2 linked regions of the Cricetulus griseus genome follow. Each later gene encodes a partner of the first gene's protein in a complex. Links are inferred from orthologs where the notes say so. Each region holds a gene or a part of one and is shown on either strand. Other genes may lie near its edges.

Evidence for each region.
Region 2: Kat7 (region 1) and Jade2 share a complex: the UniProt entries of both Homo sapiens proteins name them as parts of the HBO1 complex. The link is inferred for Cricetulus griseus from reciprocal best matches to the Homo sapiens genes KAT7 and JADE2.

The regions. Positions count from the first base shown.
Region 1 is NC_048600.1:108,461,380-108,465,029, reverse strand, and holds part of Kat7 (histone acetyltransferase KAT7), read left to right. Parts: intron 1-1,158; coding exon 1,159-1,350; intron 1,351-3,650. UniProt on the Homo sapiens protein: Catalytic subunit of histone acetyltransferase HBO1 complexes, which specifically mediate acetylation of histone H3 at 'Lys-14' (H3K14ac), thereby regulating various processes, such as gene transcription, protein ubiquitination, immune regulation, stem cell pluripotent and self-renewal maintenance and embryonic development.
Region 2 is NC_048600.1:66,088,596-66,092,245, forward strand, and holds part of Jade2 (E3 ubiquitin-protein ligase Jade-2), read right to left. Parts: intron 1,598-3,650; coding exon 1,480-1,597; intron 1-1,479. UniProt on the Homo sapiens protein: Scaffold subunit of some HBO1 complexes, which have a histone H4 acetyltransferase activity. Acts as an E3 ubiquitin-protein ligase mediating the ubiquitination and subsequent proteasomal degradation of target protein histone demethylase KDM1A.

The DNA of each region.
Region 1 (3,650 bases):
CTGTACTGCTAAGATTGCAGGCATGTCCAACCATGTACATTACCTAGACAGAATTTTTAGCAGTTTTATGAACTGTGATTTTACCTGTGATAAAACAATTTAAATGTGCCCAGGAAAATATAGATTGTAGTGTTAATTTCATCTCCATTCCTTCCTTTTATTATGTCAGTTGCAGGAGGCAGGGCTTGGTGGCTGCTCTAGGCTGAAATATTTATTGTTTGCCACCTTCTGCATTTCTTTTCCATCATGAAGATAATGCCTAAGGCCAGCCTTTCCCAGTTCTCTCAATTATTCCTACAACAAGTAATTGCCTAGTGTGCACTTGTAATCAGCCCTTGTGAGGTGGAGGAAGGAAGACCAGAGGGCACCTGCTGACAAAGAGGCCTAACCTTAGTTCAAGCCTGAATTGATCCTCAAGATCCTTGTGAAAGGAGAGAATCGACTCCCTACAAGCTTTCCTCTGTCATCTACTTGCATTTATATACACACATGTAATTAAAAATTAAAAACAAACAGAATCAGGAATGGGCTAAGATTGTAGCTCTTTTGGTAGGTGCTTACCTGGGATCCAAGAAATCCTGGGTTCCATCTCCAGCCCCACATAACTCAATGTGATGGTTCACACCTGTACTTGCAGCATTTAGAAACGAAGGCAGAAGAATCAGGAGTTCAAGGCCATCCTCATTATGGAGTACATTTGAGGCTGAGCTAAAATACTAGAGACTTTTTTTTTTTTTCTTAGAAATTCCTGGGTAGTATAGCTGGCAAGTTTTCTGTGTGAGCCACCTGATTTCCCATGCTCAGGTAACTCTCATTAGTGGCCATCTCATGGATAGAAGCCAAATCTAGCTGGTTATTTTCATAGCTTAGCTGCTGGCCTTCCAGAGGTTTTAAGAACAAGGATAATAGGGGCTAGAGATCCCTCAGTGGTTAAGAACACTTGATGTTTTTGCAGAGAACCACATTCGGTTCCCAGCATCTACCTGGTGGCTGACTGTCACCTGTAACTCCCAATTTCAGGCATCTGCAGGCACTAGGCATGTATATGGTGCACATATGTGTATGCAAACAAAACATCCATATACATTATATAGATAAGAAATCAAAGGTAAGGAATCCTAGTCCTTATTTGTTGTTTTGGTTTCTTCTTGGCAATAGGAGAAGTTAAGGCTTCAAGGCCAAATAACAGAGGGAAGCAACATGATTAAAACAATTGCTTTTGGCCGCTATGAGCTGGATACTTGGTACCATTCTCCCTATCCTGAAGAATATGCACGACTGGGACGTCTCTACATGTGTGAATTCTGTTTAAAATACATGAAGAGCCAAACAATACTCCGCCGACACATGGTATGTTCTCTTGAGTTCCACTACTGTGACCATGGCCATGAGGGTGATGTTACTTGATTTCCCAATTATGTCCTAGAGATGACATAAGCGTACAAGAAATAACAGGTCCCAAGTGCCCATAGCAATGGAGTGGAGACTGAAGGAATTGAAAGTTACAATTCAGGTTTCCCTCCACCAGGACCAGTGCTGCTTGGCACCTTAACTACATCCTGTTCACATACATATTTTTTTTTCTTTTTCCTGTCTTTTGTTTCTTCCTCAGAATATGAATTACCTCTCCCTATAGTTTGTTTGTCCCAAATTCCAAGAAGATATGTATGTTTCATTAGATAAGACAGAAGAGTGTGGCTTATATTTTTGGTGGTGGGTATCTATGAAATGTGTGTTGAATGAATGCATGTATAAGGGAGATCCACTTTTAATGGATGATGAAAATAACAGAATTAATTGATAGTTTGTATCTCTGAATGTTCTTTGTATTAAAATAGGATGTACATACCTTGGTCTAGTAAATTAGGAGTATAAAAGCAAGACCAGAAAAGCAAACTTGTTCTCATTTCCATTGTGTCAGGTATAATCACTTGTAATCACTGAAATGACCTCTTTGGCTTGGCTAATGTTTTAAACAACTAGCTGTTGTGTTGGTTTGGCTATCATGGAAAGAACTAGCAGGAATAAGTGTAGCAGGGTTTTTTGGACTGCCAGTCCCCAAATCATGACACAGAGACTTATTAGTTATGAATGCTCGGCCTTAGTTTAGGCTTGTCCCACCAGTCTTATAACTTATTTTAACCTGTTTCTCTTCATCTCCGCTTTTGCCTCAGGGCTTTTTAGCTTTCATTCTGTATGTCCTACTTTTCCTGTTTTCTTCGTTTCTGGTTGACTGGTGGCTGGCCGGCCAGGCCCTGGTGTCTCCCTCTCTTTCTCCCTTGTTCTCTCTTCGGCCTAGATTCCTCCTCCTACTTATTCTCTCTGCCCACCAGCCCTGCCTATCCCTGTACTGCCTAGCTGTTGGTCCTTTAGCTTTTCATTAGGCCAATCACATGCCTTAGGCAGGCAAGGTAAAACAAATGCAACACATCTTTACGTAGTTAAACAGATATTCTGTTCCTCAACAACTAAGGGGAAGAGATAGGAGCATAGATGGATCTTTGAAAGAATTCCAGTTAATAAATTTTTTGAGTTACCTGCAAAAATTAGAACATGATAACAATGCCTTAAACACACTCATGCACACATTCAAGCATCTCTGTGCTAGGGAGGGAACACAGCCTCATACTTAGTGGGTAAGTAATGTACCATATACTGTACCACCGAGCTACATTCCCAAACCTGGAACATAATTCTTGGAGGGTGTGTATATGATTTTTGTTTGTTTCAGGTAGGGTCTTTAGCTCAGGCTAGTCTCAAACTTGTATCTGTTTTCCTATCTCTGTCTCTTGAGTACTGACACTACCAGTGTGGACCAACCAACCACTCTATCCAGTGCAACTTTATTCTTGACTTGTCAAAAAGATGTAGTATGTAGTAAATTGTTTAATTAGAATTTTTCTGTATGTGTGAACTTGTGTGTGCACATGTGCATACACACCATGGCATACATATGAAAATAAGAGAACGACTGTGGGAGTCAGTTCTCTTGCTGTGTTAGTTCTCAGAATTGATTTTGAGTCATCAGGCTTGGCAGCAAACACCTGTACCTGCTTGAAACCTTTCACTGGCAGTGTATGAGAACTTGGCTTGCTGCCTAAGATGCTGGGTACTAGCCCCAGCACCATTGATCAAACATTTTGAGAGTAAGAAAAGGGGGTTACTTTGGAGCTAAGTAGCTTCCTGCTACTTAGCCAGGCCTCCTACCTCTTAAAATGAGCCATGGAAGCGCTTTCTCTTTGTAACATATGGCAGGAGGTGGGCAGATAGTGAGTGGCTCATGGTCTTCATCATTGTAGATCTCTTTTGCAATCTGGTAGGATGGTAATGGGAAGTGACTGGTATAGGTGAGCATAACATACTTAGCAACACTAAGCTGCCAGAATAAGCTGCTTAAGAATTTCCTGTTGGCATGGGACATTTTATTGTAAGCAAGGATATTTTTATTTATCTGTCTTTTATGTTGTAGGTGATTTAATATCTTGGGCTGAGATAATGCCAAAAATAATCCAGAAAACTTGAGCCAAACAGCCATAGAAATGCCATAGATATATTGCAACAGCTAAGAAGGTTTTAACTTTTCTGAAAACAATCAGTTTCACTGTCCTCAAGTGTGTTCAACTGTCCATTAACTCAGTTAACCAATTTTG
Region 2 (3,650 bases), about 42 Mb from region 1:
GTTTGAGGCCAGCCTGGTCTACAGAATGAGTTTCAGAACAGCCAAGGCTGTACAGAGAAACCTTGTCTTGAAAAACCAAAAACAACAAAAGAAAATAGTTGTTACCTAGTCAGGGATGGTCTTGAACCTGCTATGTGGCTGTGGATGACCCAAAACTCCCGATCCTTCTGCCTCTACCTCCCAAGTGCTAGGATTACAGATGTACACCAGAACATCTGGTTCTATGTAGTGCTGAGGATCAAACCCAGGGATTCATGCATGTTAGGCAAGCACCCTATCAAATAAGCGATAGTCCCAGCCCCTAAGGGGCCAGAAGAGGGCACTAGATTCCTTGGAACTGGAGGTACAGACAGTTGAGAGCCACCATGTGGGTGCCACCAATTGAATCCAGATCCTCTCAAAGAACAGCCAGTGCTCTTAACCCCTTCCTGAGCCATCTCTCCAACTTCTCTTCCCCTTTTTAAAAATTTCTTTCTTTTATTATTATTATTATTATTATAATTATTATTGGTTTTTCGAGACAGGGTTTCTCTGTGGCTTTGGAGGCTGTCCTGGAACTAGCTCTTGTAGACCAGGCTCGTCTTGAACTCACAGAGATCCACCTGCCTCTGCCTCCCGAGTGCTGGGATGAAAATGAGCACCACCAATGCCTGGCTTAAATTTCTTTTAAAAGAAAGGAGCTCATGATGTAGCACCGGCTGACCCTGAACTCAACCTCTTGCACACTGGGTTCACAGGTATGCTCCACCACATCTGGTAATCCCAAAGGGTAAAAGGAGCAATTCAGCTACTGGCAGAGAAGGCGGCAGTCATTCCCTCTAATGGTGCCCCCAACAGCTCTCCTCCTCCTCCACCCAAGTCCCAGAATGACCCACAGGCTGAGTGGGCAGTGGCAGCCCACATCTCCAAAGCTCTATCTACCTATCCATTTCTGCTGCATATGTTGAACATCTGAGCGTGATGGCATCTGTATGTGGGGTGCCAAGCGTGTCCTCCTTCGTAACTATCCAATGCAATCAATGTCAAGACCTTTGCCCCTGATTTCTAGATGTGCTAAATGCATGTTATAGCCAGAGACTGAAAGAGGACAAAGAAAACACAGCTTAATTTTGTCACGTGAGACCAGAGAGAGGGAAACACACAGCCTCATCTCTGTGCAGTTGCCTTTCTGAGGATTGAGCCCCAGGCACACCAGGGTTCAGGGAAGACAGCCAGCTTCTGCCTGTGTTGAGCCCACCCAGCAGAGCCAGGAAAACTGTATCATCTGCACCTGTCCTCGTGCAAGCTAAGCCACTGGGCGATCCCAGGGAACCAGTGGTGCCACCGAGGGCAGGCTCGAAAGCCACAGTCCAAACTCTGGCTCCAGGGCATTGACAGGTTCCCACATGGACCTGATGAGTGCAATGGTGGTGAGAAGGGACCCAGGCCCTTCCAGGCCCCACAGACACACCTTCCCAGCAGGGAATGTACCGTGCCTACCTCGACACAGATCTTGCTCCATAAGCTTCATCTGCAGGTGGAAAATCTGCTCCTGGAGTTTGCAGATGGTGTGCTTCGTCCTCTCGCGCCTTGTCACCATGTAGCACAGGTTCCTAACCTGAGGAGACACAAGAGAGATTTCTCACCTTACTCACTGACACCCATCTCACATCGGCCATCCGTAGGGGCCTTGTTGCTGGAGAAAGCAGTGCTTTGAACACGGGCCGCCGACGCCACTTCCCCTCTGCCCAAGACATTTGAGACTTCACTCCCAAACCCTGAGTGTACGGGCAGTGTGGTCTCTCTCACCTTGGCAACCCTCTCAGCTTGTCCAACAGCTGCCTTTCCCAGCAAAGCAACTCTTCAGATATAAGCACCATTAACGCCCAGCCCCAAGGCACCAGCAGCACTAGACTTTCAAATGAGCACAGGCAGAATAGCTTTCCCAAGACTACCTGCCACATCAGGACCTGGGCCAGGTCCCTGCCACTCCTGCAATGCTCCTGCACCCACAGTGACACAATGCCTTACTTTACAAAGGTAGCAGTCTCTGAAGCCATCTGGCCTAGTCTATAGGACAGGCACACATTCTTCAGGCTATCTGGAAGCATCTGAGGCGGACCTACCTGTCAGTGCCCGGTACCGTTCTCTCATACACTTCTGGGGCCAAGGCCAGGCTTCAGCCCTTGAGACACTCCCTTGGTGTGGCATTTCCTTTGGGCTCATATGGAGCTCTCCAGAAACAGGTGTAAGGGCTCAGGCATTATACAGGCCTGTCCCCTGACACCTGGCAGAATGCACTCAGGCAGTACCCTGGTCAGTCCAGGGTTCCATAGTCTGCATGCAGGTGCAAAGGACCCCTTTGAAAGACATAACCCCGCCCACTTATGCTCTCTTTTTCCACTCTCCTGCTGTTCCCCTGAGGCAGACAGGACTTTTCCTGTCTCCCTCTTCTCTGTCCTCTCTCTGTCTCTTTACCTCTCTCTGTTCTCCCTCCCCAACCCCTTGCCCTTTCTAATAAAATTTCTCACTAAGCTCTGTTTGCCTGGCATGTTTGTCCCTCTACCCAAGTCAACTTCCACTGCCATGGAATCTGCCAAGGTCCTCCGCACAAGGTTCCCCATGAGCATTATCATAACAAGACAGAGCTTAGTGAGAAGTTTTATTGGAAAGGGAAGGGGGAAGGGAGAAAAGAGGTAAAGAGACACAGGCAGAGAGAGAAGAGGGAGACAGGAAAAGTCCTGTCTGCTCCAGGGGAACAGTGGGAAAGAGAGCAGGAGTGGGCGGCAGTCTGTCTTTTAAAGGGGTCCTTTGCACCTGCGTGCAGACTACCAACCATGGACCCCTGGGCTGACCAGGGCACTGCCGGAGACACTCCCTTGGTCTGGCATTTCCTTTAGGTTCATATGGAACTTTCCAGAAACAGTGATAGATGTTTCTGACCATAGCTGTTCAGCTTGAATCCAATTCCCACCAAGGTCTTCCTTAGTTAAGTCTCTCTGTCCTTAAGCTGCCTGGGGTGGCCTTTAATTCAGAACCCCCACTTCTTGGCATGACCCCTCTTCTTAGCTCAAGGGAGTATGACCAGATTTCTGTCAGGTATGGCCTTCCTTCTTTCCTTTCTGAGACTCGTTGTGAAGAAGATTCTAGAAGACCCAGTTCAGCCTATAAGCATCAACAGGGTGGATGCACCACCCTGCACGCCAGCCTGGCTCAGAGACTATCTACTGTCTGGGAGGAATTTACCGAAAGCAACACCGTCAGGGGATCTTTCTTTACACAGCCTGCCACCCAGCAAGGCAGAGATTCTGATGAGGTACTCCCAGGACCAGGTGGCCCTGACCCAAGACTAGAAGGGTGCAAGGCCTCCTGGATAAAGGGACAACTAAGACCAGCAGGAGGCCTAGCTAGGCCTTGTGGGGACAGTCTAATGGAGCAAGGGGAGACAAAGCCAGCCAGCAGGGGATGGGGTGGCTGAAAACTGGAGTCATCCCCACGACTTGCTCTCTGGCCTCCACCCACAATTGACCCATGGGTACATTTACATTCCTCTTTCCTTGTGACTGACACCATCTCTCTTCACAGCCTGGTTCTGCCCATCCCCCAGCCTTTCATAGGGACAGTAAAACCATCCCTCAGCAATGTTCTTGAAATGCAAATCAGACCACTTC